Struthio camelus: one gene and its partner. The protein of the gene in region 2 purifies or fractionates together with the protein of the main gene of each other region. This does not show direct contact. Links are inferred from orthologs where the notes say so. Each region holds a gene or a part of one and is shown on either strand. Other genes may lie near its edges.

The links.
Region 1: the proteins of GLS (region 2) and SIRT5 purify together in Homo sapiens (affinity purification with western blotting; 3 studies listed by BioGRID and IntAct, with this or other methods). This does not show direct contact. The link is inferred for Struthio camelus from reciprocal best matches to the Homo sapiens genes GLS and SIRT5.

What each region holds. Positions count from the first base shown.
Region 1 is NC_090943.1:97,878,047-97,886,271, reverse strand, and holds the start of SIRT5 (NAD-dependent protein deacylase sirtuin-5, mitochondrial), read right to left. Parts: upstream 3,210-8,225; 5' UTR 3,099-3,209; exon of another isoform or gene 2,792-3,098; intron 1,803-2,791; 5' UTR 1,785-1,802; coding exon 1,664-1,784; intron 338-1,663; coding exon 204-337; intron 1-203. Other genes in the region: kinesin-like protein KIF13A, read right to left, coding at 7,879-8,165. UniProt on the Homo sapiens protein: NAD-dependent lysine demalonylase, desuccinylase and deglutarylase that specifically removes malonyl, succinyl and glutaryl groups on target proteins.
Region 2 is NC_090947.1:14,525,949-14,533,062, forward strand, and holds the start of GLS (glutaminase kidney isoform, mitochondrial), read right to left. Parts: upstream 3,159-7,114; 5' UTR 3,144-3,158; coding exon 2,824-3,143; intron 2,188-2,823; exon of another isoform or gene 2,142-2,187; intron 1-2,141. UniProt on the Homo sapiens protein: Catalyzes the first reaction in the primary pathway for the renal catabolism of glutamine. Plays a role in maintaining acid-base homeostasis. Regulates the levels of the neurotransmitter glutamate, the main excitatory neurotransmitter in the brain.

The DNA of each region.
Region 1 (8,225 bases), on a different chromosome or scaffold from region 2:
AGCAAAAAGGAAGCTGCAGCTGCACAAAGCAGCCACAACAGGGCATGGGGAAGACACACAAACACGACTGTAGGGAGAGCTCTGTCACTATCAAAACACTGTTGGGAGCACTTCAACACTTTAAGGTACCTAGGTTTTCCTGACTCATTGTACTTACCTACTTGACTGATTAAAAAAAACAGACACGCGCCATGAGTACCTACCTGTGCTGGCCACTTTCTCCAGAAACCTCCAGCCCCTCTGAAGGTAGGAACTCCGCTCTCAGCGCTAACACCAGCTCCCGTAATAATGGCTATGTGCTTTGCTTTGGCAAACACTTCTCGAAAATCAGCCATATCTAAACGTTGAGGAGGGGAAAAAAAAAAAAGGCTGTTCAAACATTTGCACTTTTATTCAAGAGGTCATTTGGGTAGTACTGGCAAACGTATGCATCCAGAAATGGCTACCACATACACCTACCATAACTTTACCTTCAGAATAGTAATTTTTTTCTAAGCTTCTGTATACTGGAACGAGAAGGGCACTTCTTTGAGATGCTCAGAAATACTTACAAACAAACGCAGTGGGGCAATATGCATTGAACTGTGAATATATTCTATATTTGAAAGATAGAAGTCTTAAACTAAAACCTTATGCTAGATGGTGCAATGATGACAACAGCAGCCACCACCACCCAGGAACAGTTTGCTTCCTAACTGTAAGGTAGGATCCTGGGATGAAAGAAATCTAGTCTTCACAAACATTTAGTTACAAAATATCACCTTGAAAATTATGGTAATTTGGGGAAAAAATGTTTCCTTCCAAAACATCTTGCCCACTTCGTAGGTTCGAAATTGTATTTTCTATCTTTAATATATATTCCCTACATTTTTCCCTGTACAGTAAACCAACTTGGGAGAAAGATGGGAGATTTCTTTCCCAGTTTAGTAAGGGCCAAAGCAAGATCAAAAAGGAAAATATAGAGAGACAAAAAGCCCTCTTTCAGTCTTTCTTGGATGTTAGCTTTAAAGCAACACATTCTAGAATCATAGAATCGCTGAGGCTGGCCTCTGGAGATCGTCTAGTTAATGTGATTGCACGTAACCCCCTGCTCAGAGCAGGACCATCTAGGGCAGGTTGCTCAGGACCTTGTCCAGTCAGATTTTAAATGTCTCCAAGGACGGAGACTCCACAGCCTCCCTGGGCTACCCGCTCCACTGTTTGACCAACCCCAGAGTAAAAACAAAAAAGACTTCACGACTAGACTAGACTAAACAAAGCTTCTGGAGTTACCTAACGCCCTGCTCCTGAGTTGTTATAAACGCTTGAGGCCCTCCATAATTCTCCTCCATAAAGAAGCGAGAGAGTGAATTTCAATACCCATTAGGAACATGAAAAGGAAAGTATACACTTACGTGTATAAATTTCAGATACTAAAAACATCAACAGGCAACTACACTGACTGCAACTATGTGAGGGTTTTTGGAACCATACAAGTTTATAGGTATGGTTGACAAATTTCACCCACTAGAAAAAAAATCAACTTCACACTTTCCTAAACCTTAAAAGAACCTACGTTTTTGAATTAAACTATAGACTTTGCCTATTACATGAAACTCTCTGGAGTTTCAAGTCTAGTTTAACACCCGTTTAATATACTAAAAGAAACAAATGTATATCTTACTTGAACTAGGACGAGCCATTTCCAAGCAAAACCGCTGTTTCTTTGAAGAAAAAGGCTTAAGTCCACAGTATGCTTGGGAAACCAGCCTTCTAGTGGTAAACTGAAAGAGACTCATCAGCATCACTTCAAAGTGCTTTATCTGAAGAAAATACAATAAATGAAACACAAGTGAGCCATTTAGTGAGCATATTCCTGTAGGGTCTCTGTATCACAAATAAAGAGGGGAGTATAAACACTATTCATGCTTTTCTCCTGCACTTCATTCAGCCAAGTGAAGTTTTATGTATGAGACGTATTCATGACCACAGTATTTCTTAATTGCAAGATAAAACAAAACACTTGCTGAGATTTAACAGGTCTGCCTTTTCTTTCTTTTGGAGATAAAGGCTATCATAGCATCTTTGAATTCTCCCTCTGTGCTGCAAAACGCAGATGTCACAAACGTGAGATCCAAAATTGGAGTGACCACTTCTGCTTCGTTTTGCTTCCAGTTAGGAATGAGCGGAAGAAAATTGGGTCTGTGCAAAGACTGCTGAGCCCTTAAATACATTCACTACAGCATAAAAACACACTGCTACAATTTTCTGTGCAATATTTAACTTAACGCGATGCTTTTAAATTTGCAGACTTATGCAAGAGTAATTTCCTGGGTGGGACTGTTAATTCCTTTTTTTTTTTTTTTTTAAAGATGAAAAGCAGACAGACATCAACGCGCACATGCTAGAGAGGCTTCAGAACGGGACAAAGCTACTGCAGCTTCTGCCTTGGCTGGGGACTTTGCGGTCCAGGGCTCTTCAGGCAAAGAAAGAGGTGCCTTCGGCCTGAGCCGGCGAGGCAGGGCAAAGCAGCCGGCGTCCGGCAGCGCCGTGCCGACCCCTCGCCAATTCCTGCCTTTGAACTGTAGCAGTTCTGCTCTCAGGACAGGAGGCCGCCACCTCTTTTGCACCCGCAGCGTACAACCCCCTCCGCATCGTGCAACTCTTGCAAGCGATTCAACGTGAAGGAAATCAACGCGCATATATCATCATCTAACGTCCTCTTGGCTGCTAAACGGGGTTCGTCCTATCAGGAACGTACGTGCTCTCAGCTATACAAAAGTAAAAGGGAAGCGCAGAAAAGCGTTTTTACATTTATGCTCACCACAGGCAAAACGCATTCGTCCGGCCCCTCCCTCTCTTTTAATCCTTCCTGGGCATTTAAAAGCCACCGAAATATTCTCCAGTTCTAGAGGACGTGTGCTCGCCGAGGTTTCCGTCGGAGAGGACCTCCCCTCTCCCTTCCGAGGTCGCAGGAGGCAGGAATCCAGCACCCAGGCTCGCAGCGCCGCTTCCCCGACCGCGCGCGGCCCTCACCCCGGCGCCGCGGCGGCAGCCGCCCGCTCCCCGCCCCCGGCGCCGCAGCGAGGCCCAGGACGCCGCTGCCGCCGCGCACCCACCTCTGCGGCGAGCCCGAGCGGAGGCCGCGGCCGGGCGGGGAGGCGGCGGCGGCGGAGGCCGATCCGTGCGGAGCGGCACGTCCCGCCCGCCGGCAGCGGGGCCGCCCCGGGGGCGGCGCTGCCGCAGCTCCCGGCGCAGCGACGTGATCGCCTCTGCGTGCGCGGTGGCTCTGGAAGCGGCGCTTGGGGGAGGAATTTAAAGAAAAAAATAAATAAATAAATTAGAAATGCATGCCGGCAAAGCTAAAGGCCGAGGTTTTGCAATGACGTTGCCATGCAAGTGTATTTGAACAGCGCTATCTCTTGGTTATGTACCACAAAACGTTTAGGCGCTAAGGCCAAAGAGGCAAGCTGGGCCACAGCCTGGCGCCCAAGAGCGGGGAAAGGATAATCCTCCTTCCCCCTTTTTAAAGCCCTGCTCTCAGCAACCTAGCAGAGAGTCTGAGCCAGCGGTCGCGTTTTTCCATTTACCAGATGGCGTTTAATAATGTTACTCCCCTAATCCCGTAGTGGCTCCACCTTGGAGCGAGGGCTGCGTGGGACCGCGCATCCCGGGGCGCCCAGCCGCCAGCAAGGGGAGAGCCCCCGCAGCACAGCCGGCCGGGCAGAGAACCGCCCGCTGCAGCCCCCCGCCTTAGGTTCAGTTCCTGAAGCTTAATACACTCAAACCTTATACACGTTATGGCTAAGCATTTTTCGTACCGCTTCAGTTTGCCTAACAGCATAAATAGGAAGCACACTTTTTCCCTTTTTCTATCTACTAAAAATATTTTATCTTCTTCAAAGCCATGTCTGCGTTTCTCTAATAAGACTATATAATCACACTCTCTCCACGTTCTTAAAAATTACCTATGTAACATGCTGATTCTTGCAGGGCTGCACAAGGAAATGTAACATTCAAGTATTCTGGTAGGGTTGTGTATTCCAAATACACTTCATTAGGGCGACTGACCAGAGTCCACATTTGGTTTTAAGGCAGGGTCTGGGCAGGAGAGGATGGAGGGCAACCAACTTCCGTGGAATCACAGCTTCCCTCTGAACACTGCCATGTACTTTTCCTTTTCTACTTTAGTGGCTTGTGCAATGTCAGAATTAGCACATATTAGATTAAATTATACACAAGTGTATTTGAAAAGCTAGATGCTTCTCCAGAGTCATCAGTTTGAGGTCCAGTCTCAGGCATTAACAGTTTGCATGTTAATCAACAAGACTCCTGTACACTGCTAGACTAACACCACTTAGGCATTCACAACATTAAAAAAAAAAAAAAAAAAAGACAGCTTAATTCACAGTTTCCACAGTCTTTAGGAAGCAAGCTGTTTGTACCTTGTTTTCCTGTAGAAACAAGCCATAGCAATTGCTTTCATCCATCCTCTTTCTTTCCACCCTTCCCAAATTTTCATTCTCTTCAGCTTCTTTTCAATCAATTTGAGATATCATTTCAAAACGTTCAGCTCAACAGATGAGAAGTCCCCTAAAACGTGCACCCCATCATAAGACAGATTGAAATGCAAGTTCTGCCATTACAGCAGAAGTACTGCTCAAGCCTACACCCTGCTAATCAGCCCCCACAACCAGGCAGCAGCTCTTGCCTCTGACCCAGCCGGTACCTGCAGGACATAAAGAGTTATCAGTGGGAAGCAGGAGGGACAGGCAAAACGTCAGAAGCACTTATGCACAGTGTAGGGGAAGAGAACATACAGCTGCTGGTCCCCCTGGTTTACAGCCTACCTTTCATTCGTTACACTTTTCACGGGGCTACTCTTTACTTACGTCACAGCATTTAATATCCTGCCTTCAGTTGCAAATGTCAAGGAAGTCTTTTGCAGGGGAATATTTGAAACAATGAGAAGTACTGATTAAACATTGTGCTTTTGGTTTTTGGGGTGCATCAGCTGTTTCAGTTCTCTGAATGCTTTGGCTGAATCTTCATGAAAGCACCTAGCTTGAAAAAAAAAAATAGTAGCAAATTCAGAAAACAAGATAAAGACCAGTACGATCTGATTTAACACTGTAACCATCTTGATGATTAAAATTACATAATACTATTTGGATTAACCAACTCACTGAGATGACAGGTTTGTTCTGCCAGCTCAGACAAATGACAGGCTGGTTCTACTCTGTATTGTTCAGTATTATATTTGCAGTTGGTTTATTTTTAAACCTAGGGCTTAGCATGGATTGTATATTCTGCTTATTAGACAGTGTCTATTAGATGCTAGTTAAGATAATATTTTATAAAAACCAAAGAAAAACAATACGCAGTTGGACAGTCACCATGGCCAAAATTCACCGCATTCTTCAGTTGATTATGAAGTTCAATACACCAAACTGTTACTCTGACATTACTAATAGAAAAAGTGCTTCTCTATTTAAGCAACAAAGTTTGAGGAGCAAATCAAATAAAATGCCTGCATTTTCACATTATTGCATTGCACTCATTAAGTAAGTTCATCCTAACTTTACATTAACCTCGGGCAGGACATGTCAGCATGGAAGGTTCGCAGAAGTACAGGTCTTTCAATAGTAAGAGAAGCCATGAGAGCATAAGTTATGCCAAATGTGTATAGTACACAAATAGGTTGGCTTGTTTAGGTTTCTCTGGCATTTATAGATTGTATACCAAAAGAAGCACAATTATTCCAGTGTTTCTTGAGCAACCATGTATTCTATGTTCTCAACAGCCTAAAACAATGAACAGCCTGGTGTGTCTGATGCTAACCTGGTAGAAGTACTACATCTTTGCCCTAAGAAAATAACCCCATTAACTTTCAAAATTGTTTATGCTGTCCTAAGAGAAATATATCTGGGTGAGTGAGCGAGTATGTGAGACAGTGAGAGAGACACACACAGAGTGGGTGCATGTGTGGGAGACTATTTTTAGGAAGATTGAAGTGACATCTAAAATTAATTTCAAGATGGTGGGTTGAGTGTAGATACTTGGCAGAGTTGTAGGATCACCTGCTGTCCTTGATAAAATGCTTTTGCATACAGTGGTTCTTTTATTACGGTAATTTCCTCCAACAGCAGTATCATTAATGCAGTGAGAGCAACCCTAGGTGAATATCAGAAATATGAAAGGATCTGCAAAGATGCTTGTCCCACCAAAATCAATTCCATAAGCACATAAGAATCCTCGCTCAGAGTCGCCAAAAGCAGTGTCAAGGGCAAACACACTCAATTTCCCCCACCAGCTGCCAACTGTGTTCTGCTCAGTTGGGGCTTTGACATAGTTAGTAATGAACCTAGCTCCTAGGAACGTGTCCAGGCTCCCCTTGACCCGCGCCACCCGTTGGCAGGAGTTGCACAGCACCGCTCCCCCACCTCTGAAGGGGGGGGAAAACCAGCAGCTGAGGAACAGAGGTGTATCCCCATGAGCTATTCTCATCTTAGGCCGGTCAGTGATAAAACGGATTAATACCATCCGGTCTTCTACTCTGAGCATCTTATCCTTCAGCGTATTTACAAAGTACTTTGAATCTGAGCACCATGAACCAGTAACAGCATCAAGTTTAAACCTAATTGTATCAAATACAAGCAAAACGTTTTCTTTAAAATCCCAAGTAAACAGTCTGTATTCTAACACACAAAAGGTTTGTACCACTTAAATACAGTATGGCAGTATATAAATTACAGTTCTTTACAGCAAATAGTAAAATACTAGAGTCCGCTTACTGTACACAACAATCAAAGAACAAACAGCAGCTTTTCAGTAAGGTCCCAGATATCTCATTCATTCACTTGCTAAGAAACAAAGAACAGATACAGCAGGCCATTCACTTCACTCATTTTTACCATGTTACTTTACAAATAACCAGAACACTTGTACAGGCATCTACAGTATCTACATGTGGAACAACCTTCTTAGGAATTCATGAGCACCATACATAAATCCCTCCATTATTCCCATTATTAAAATAAACTTTACAGGTTAAGATTACTTTAGCAGGCTCTATTTCATCTTGATAATAACCAGCAAGTAACAAGTGCAAAGTTTGCAGTCATGATCCATTTACTGCTTCTTTGTCTCCCTGTTCCCTCCCCCACCAAAAAAAAACACCCAAAACCTCACAGTGTTGTCCTCTCATACCCTTGCAGTAATACTGTTTCTGCAGTCAAACTGCCCAGCTGGCTTATGTTAACTTATGAAATGCCAGACTTACAGCTTCAGGCATTGTTAGTCTTTTCAATGCAATGCCAAGTCAGCACAGTGGCAGGCCTCTAGGAAGACAAAAAAATATGAAGCAGTCAGATATTTCAGTGTGCTTAAACACAGAACATAAGGCAGCATGGTGCCCAGTGACTAAAAGAAACATGGCACCAAGCTATGAGTTAAAACACTTACAATAGAAAGATATAAACAGCAAATGTGTCAGTCTAAAACAAGTTCTTTGGTAATTAAGAACAGCAAACCGTAGTGGTTTTTTTTGTTTTTCAAATACGGATTTACATCCTTGTTTTTCCACAATAAAATATTTTCTTTGTTGTTTAAAATATATCTCCCAAGTTGTTGTGTAACAAACAGTCCAGTACCTCAGTTATCTACAGATCAGCTTTAACTGTATTTTAGTGTGCAGCCATATCTGCTCCGTGGCAGACAAACTATAGATACACATTCATATATATATAATATATATATTATTTATAAAAAATTAGGGAATTAAGTCAAGGACTCTAGAGAGTACACATTCGGTATGGACAGATTAAAATGTACAATAGCTTCAAAAATCCATAGTTTTCTACACAGCGATGTGTGTAGTAAGTGCAAAAATACTGCAGTTTAGTTAATCCAAGATTTCCTGTTTTCCTGCTTCCTAGAAAAAGCAGAAGCCGCCGCATCTCCTGAATGACAGAGGACATCTCCTCCTGTTTTAGAAGCAGATGATGACCCTTGAAGTAGAGAACTTCTCCGTTTCTCTGAAGTGGAAGATGCCTGAGATCGTGAAGTGCTACTTGATTTCTTTGAGGAAGCTGGTGCTTTACTGAGGCGTCCTGGACGAACAAACACACCGTGTCGTGGTTTGCAGCGGAAGTACTCTCTGCCTTTTACAGTTCCATCGTGCTTCCCTTCAATGAAAATAAATGCACAGAATTAATTGTCGGAAATTTCATTAGCACATATAACTG
Region 2 (7,114 bases):
CTAGTTATTCCCCCAGGCCGCTCAAGGGGCCTACTAGGGATTAACCTGTTCTACATTTCTGTACAGTCTTTGCATGAAACATTTTAACTTTTTAGTTGCAACTACTACTCTCTTTGCACAAGACTGTTAAGCAAGCAAACAAGGAAGAAAAATCTCAGTTCTGTCTTTTGACATCGCAGGTTATTCCAGTTTCCCAGAACCATGACTTGATAACAGAAGAGCAAAAGAGCAAAAAAAGATTGTTGTCCGCAATCCATCTGCAAAACAACTCCAGTGCGAATGACAGGATGGCAAGGCGCTGGAATCGGAACACAGACTGGACTAACTCAGACCGGTTGCCAAGTCAGTCCAGCATCCGAGAGATCTTCACGTTCCTTCCAAATCCTACACCCTGCCTGAACACAGCAATGACTTCCACATGCTCTGTACCACATAGAGATGCTTAAGGAAGACCGTCACGATCCTGCATTGAGGAAAAGAAGAACGAAAGCGTCCAGCAGTTTGGCTGATCCACGTTAGCCAGAAGTTTGGCTAATGGGCCACCAGGAATTCCTGCACAGCCTGAACTGAAAAGAAACTGTTTTTGTTCCTAACTAAATGCACAGCTATCCTTTTTTTCAATGCTTTAGATAATTGTTCTTTGTATATTTGGAGGCAAGGCTCAAAGAACAAGCATCTGACTTTCAAACACATCCGGTTGTCAAAGGAAAAAAAATTTTTTTTAAGTGTTTAATCGGTTCATGACCGTACAGCTTTTCCAAATGTATTAGAAATAATACAAGTTCTGTCAATTAGGGAAATAGTTATAAATACTCAGTTTAAGAAAACATCACCTTTTGGATATATCACCTTTCCAACATAAGGTCTGCTATGAAATACATATTATTTAATAATTCAAAGAAAACCCTTTACAGTGGGTTTTTTTTTTGAAGTTTTTAGTGGCACTGTATGTATTTCTCATTGAAAATGAAAGAATAAACTTTATAAACCACACCTACTTGAACCACCTTTGAAGTAATTTTTTTGTTCCAAAACATTATGCATAAAACTAATTCAAACCACAGGCTTCATATACAACAATGTACCAAACAATATAATCTAATAACAATAAAATATATATATGATATGTATTATCATGCATGGTTACATAATCTGACATGCATGTGTATACACTTTTTTTTTTAAAAGCAGTTTGACAGCAGAAATTACACTTGAAGCCTTTAAAGAAGGCAGTATGCCACTGAAACAAAAGGCTTGAACCAAGCCAAGCAGCAAAATATTTGGTGGGAGGAGGGGGAAAAGAAAAACAAGATAGATTCTTTCCTCTGCTACCAGACTGGACGAGTGAGTACAAGCTCATACTAAAAAACGCTCCCAAAACTAAAACTATTACCAAGCTAAGGGCTGAAGCCTTCCAGACCGACCTCGTAGAATCTCTTCCAGACTGCCTCGTAGCAGTAGGTTAACAATGACTTCTCTCACTGTCAAAGCACCATACCCTGTCTTGGTCTTACTCCCTCCCTTTTTTGCCTTTCTTCTTCCAGCTAATACATGCAGCAAAGCATGGGAAAGAAGCTTGGTTTTACAGATTTTATTTACACCTCCCTATACAGGGCACAGGGAAGTCGACACGTGGGCAGTCTGTGAGAAAGCCAAGGGGCAGGTCCCAAACAAGCATGAAGGGGATGGGTCTTCACAGGGCTTGCAGCTAGGCTGTTACACTTTTTCTAAGAGGTTAACAAAGATACAAAGTGTACACAGGCTCAAAAAAGCTAAGGAACAAACTAGGAGGCAAAAACAATTTTTTTTTTTCCCAAGAGACTCTTTGCAGAACTGCATAACGCTGGAGGCTAACAGAGCATTCAAGAGAGTCATCGCTATGTTTGCCTTGTCATTATCCTCTGTCCCAGGTAGCTGCTGCTGGTCATCACTAGGGACACAAACGGGAGTCGCTATGCCTGCCCCGACCCATTCTTGCAGGAGTATTTGAAGTTCTAGCTGAAGGAATACGAACTTCAAGGTATCATTCTCACACCTTCACGTACCTTTGTCACCTAGGCACAAATCGGGACCTCCCTGGCAGAGGGACACAGGCTGTAGCGCCCCGTAAACGCTTGCCCGTACCGCCACCTGGCACCTACCCCTAAGCACACCAGACGCGGATAGGCATGCTGAAGACACCGCTGTACAACTCCCAAGGCAGACCTACGCCGCTACCTCAACTACTACTGGAAGATGACGCAGCTCTAACTTCTCGCGAAAAAGCACCTTATGCAAACAGCAGCCCTAGGGGGAAAAAAAAAACAAACACACACCACCAACAAACAACCACAACGCCCCACCGGCCTCCTCCCGGGGACGCGGCGCCGACCCCGAGCCCGGCGGCGGCGCCAGGACGGGGAAGCGACTTCGAGCACGTGCGCGCGGGCACGGCGCGTGGGGGGGGGGGGAAGGGAAACGATGCTGCCCCGCCCCACGCGCGCACATCTCCTGCCCGCCTGCGGCTACGCTCCTAGGCCGCCTTTCACAGCCGGCTGGACCCCACCGACCTCCGCGGCCGCCTCCCGCGCCAGCGGCCCACGCAGAGCGGCCCGAACACCGCGCGGGCACCGCGACGCCCGCCCCACGCCCCGCACTCGCCGCGGCCGGCGGCGGCAGGACCCTGCGGCGGCCGCGGAGGAGGGGTGGGGGGGGGCGCGGAGGGCGGAAGGGAGGGGGGGGGCGGCGATGCCCCGCACCTGCCCCGGGCCCCCCCGCCGGCCCCCCGCGCAGGGCGCCGCTCACATGGCGCCGCCGCCGCACGCCCCGCCCCGCCGCACTCACTTCTCGCCGCCGCCGCCTCCGGCCAGCTCCTTGCCGCCGCCGCCGCCGTGGTTGTTGTTGGGGCCGCCGGCGGGGGAGGGGGGCTCGGCGGGGGGCGCCGGCGGCTGCTGCGCCGCCTTCCCCGGCTCCTCCAGGGCCCCCTCCGAGCGGGTGCAGAGCCCCCGCGCCGTCGGCAGCGCCGGGCGGCGGCGGGAGGCGGGCGGGCTGGCGCCGAAGGCGGCCAGCGGCGGCGGGAGGCGGGCGGGGCCGGCGGCGGGGCCCGGCGGCTGGTTGAGCCGCAGCAGCTCCCGCAGCAGCGCCGAGCGCCACAGCCGCATCATGCTGCGCCACTTCCCTCCGCCGAGTGCCCCAGCCGGCCGCCTGCCGCGCCGCTCGCGCCGCGCCGAGCCCGCCCCCGCGCCTCCCTCATTGGCGGCGCCCGCCTAACTGTCAGCCAGCCGGCTCCCTCATTGGCCAGCGCCAACGCCACTCCGGCTCGGCCACGCCCCGGCGGCAGGCCGGGCCGCCGCGGTGCACCGGGGTCTGGGCGCCTGAGGCCGCCTGCGCGGGGCGGGAGCTCCGCCGGGAGCCGGCGAGAAGGGCGCCAGCTGGCGGAGGAGGGGGCGGGCGAGGACACGGCAGCGGGCCGCCAGCGGCCGGGCCGGGCCGCGCCGCCACCATTTTCGGGCGGCTGCGGCGGCCCCGAGGGCGAGGCCGGGGCAACGGGGGCACCTGCGGGGGGCGACATTCCGTGCGGCGCCGCCGGGCCTCCTCGCAGCGCCCCAGCGCCCGTTTCTACTCCCGTTTCTTGTGAAACGCGCTAGGAACGGGCTTGGCTCGTGTCACGTTGGCGTTGCCATGGTTACAGCCCCCCCCCCTTCCCCGAGCAGAGAGAGAAGAGCTGGGCAGCGGGACGAACGGAGCGCGGCGGCCGGCGCGCAGTCAGAGCGAAGGCCGCGCCGCCCCTCCTTCGCTCCTTCGCAGCCCGGCGCCGGCCCAACCGCCGCCTGCGCGGGCGGCGGCGCGGCGCGTGACGTCACGCTGCCGCGGGCCGGAGCGGGCGTCGCGGCCGGTGCGGGCCCGGCCGGGCCTCGGGGAAGGAAACCGCTGCTGAACTGGGGGCTGCCGGCCCGCATCCCAGCGGCCTGGGTCGTGACCAAGGACGCTGGAAGAGGAGATCTCTCTTGGCCGGCGACGCCAGCATGGGAGCCCGTGCTGGGACTGCTGTCGCTTTCCCCCTTCTCAGGGGCCGTCAGGCTCTGAGCAAAGGCGCTTTCAGAGCCCGGTGCAACTACTGCTGAATTTCCTTACAAGCAACTTAACTCGTGCGCTGAGGCTCACTCCTTGTTCTGTCTTCGTGCTCCGGGCAGGGCTGTAGTGCTGCGTCAAAACGAGCTTGCTGCAAACCTTATCGGAAGTGCTTCACGCTAAACATACTGGCGTTTTATTTTCTACCTCCCGAACCAACAGTTGTCTAAGCAGAGTAAATCGCTCTTAAAGAACCATGTAAAACACAAGTTGGGGTTTTTTTTTTGTTAGTTGCTTGTCTATGCACTTAAAGTTTTACATAATTGTAATAAACGTGTGTTCAGAAGAGCCTTTGCTTGTGCTTACACCGTAGCACAAATGCCCACAGGAGTTTCCTGTGCTAATAAATCATCACAACAGCCATGAGAATTTTTGGAAGCGGATTCAAAGAGAGCTGATAATCTACGCCTGTAAAATGAGCCTCAGTGCACTAGCGGTTTTACTTCCCACTGAACAAGGAAACTTGAAATATCACTGTGGGATGTGTAATCCTGTGTTACAGTTACCTCACATACAAAAATGCAAAGTACCTACAGTTCTCACATATTTATTGTGTTACCTATTACATTTCCTGGAATGAACTCCGGGTTTCCATTTGCTAAGGCTGCTTGGCAAGCCAATAACTGCATCTTTCATCATGCAGCCCAATGTTATTATTTCTCTTAAAGAAACATTTTTAAAATTCCGTTGTTCGAAATACTCTAAACAAAGAAGAGAAGCATCTCCAGCCCCTTTTCCCTTCTCTCGGCGGGGACCACTATTCTGAGATCAGAGACAGCAAGCACCTTTCCACTCGGTCACTAATTGAACACACAGCCTTACAAACACTTAAAAGATTCCCTGCTGATTTTCATTGCCAAGGTGAAATTTTGTTGCGACAGCAGCACTCTTTCACAAACCAGCTGGTGAGCAACTGACCTAGTTGAAAAACTTGGCTAATTCCTCCCTTATGCTATAGGGGGGAAGAAGAGGAAGAATGCAAAATGCAGTGATCTGGATCTTTCTGTTTATTTTTCTGATTTCTGTTCAGAACATTATTCTGGGGAAGGAAATAAAAAAGGGAAGGAAAAAAAAAGTACTACATTAACAATAAAAATACTTCCCTCATAACAGTACCCCGTGTTACACATTTCTGACCCTATATTAACTCTTTTATTTTACTCATTTCCTTTTTTTTACTTCATATGCTATTGCTTTATTCCTTTATTTAATCTTTTAGTATCAGCTTCACATCACTAACCTCCCAATGCAAGCATTCCTCATCAAACTTTCTCTTGAAACTTCCTTCAGGAAATGAATCCTCAACTTCTCTCCCTGGAAATTGCCCTGCATGTGTTTCAGCTTTTCAGGGCAGAGAATGCAAGTTGTTCATTGTGTAACTACAAATGCACGACTCGGGAACAATGCAAATGATAAATATAGTTTCAGATTCACAGAGTTCAAGGGCAAGTGACTCATTCCCTCTTCTGAGAGCTTTTGCTGCATACTTCAGGCCACATCTACTTTGTCTTACTATTACTAACCTTAAGAAGCTCCACACAATGATTTTCTTCCCTCCTCCCAAAGGCACAGATATACTAGAGATTCTCAGTTTAAAGGTGGCTTTTTTTCCCTTCTAAAATAGGCGCTAAGAAACATAGTAAGGATAACATCAGAAATAGTCATTGACTTGTGAAAAGAGTTATTATACATTAAACCTATTAAACTTACTCAGATTTTTGTTTTGATCCAAATGTTAGATTGGGCTAGCCCCTATCACCGTGAAACCCCTCTCAGACTTCCTTTTGAACAGAATATTACTTGTCTTTTTTGAAATAGAAGATGGGCCATCTGCTCTGCCATTATGTGTTTCACAGAGCATCCCAAGAGAAACAGAAAATTACAAAACCAGTTTCCAGATAATGCAAAGGAATTGGTAATTAAAATTCTCTGTAGTTTTTATTTTCTGAGTTGATTACACAACTGGCAGTAACCATAAGCAAACAATTCTTTTTTAATTTCCACAATTACACATGTATCTTTGTAAGACAGAAATTAAGAGAGACTATTTGAGACGACATGGTTCCTCAATAAAAACAAATACGGATCTTTTAAATGGGCATTTTTTAAAGTATTTTCCTTAATTCCTAAGTATTGTAGAAAAATATTCACAGTATATCCCTCTAAAAATAATCCATATTTCAGAGACGCTTTCTTTCTAAAAGCGGTATGGGTTAATCCTCTGGGAGAAAGGGCTCTGAAAAGCAGGTGGAAAGAGGTCTTCCCAGTTCAAGTACATACACAAATAACAGCTTTCAGGAAGGTTAAATCCTCCCATCAGATCGGCAAGGCAGATCTCAGATAAGCAGCAGAAATTAAGGATTATCTTGACTACGACATGAACTGTTTACTTTGCTATTTTAAATGGTTATGCTGGCTTCATTTCATTTGTTGCTGGGTAATGCTTTCGCAAAAGAGAACTAAGGACCAGACGCTGCAATCTTGACGCTATTCAAGTATTTCTACTGATTCAAGCAATGCTGTTTCTAAAATTTCGTTTTCCTTTTGTGAGGCTACCACACTGAACACATGAATAACATGTTGACACTGATTCAGACAGAAGGTGTTCTGTTGCAAGAACTGTTCCATACAGGGTTGTACAGAGGATACGGAACGGCCTTCTCTGAGCCCAGAAGCGTAAGCAGTTAACTAAAGTTACTATTTAATCTAAAGAAACGAGGGCCGAAACATTTAGGCATAGTAGCTCAGAAATCCAATGAGGAGGAAAGATTCGGAGGAATCATTTACCTGAGAGGTAATAATTGAGAGAGTAACCTGAAGTGACAAGCAATGGCAAAAATTCAAAACCATCTCCCCCAAGTCTAGCGATCAACCCGTCAACGATCTCATCATCAATGAGATCATAGCTCATTTTTCAACACCCTCATTCCAGGCAAATATAGACAGTAATGAATGAATTCAAGGGAGAGCAACAAAAATATTTAGAGAATTCGCTGAGACAGAC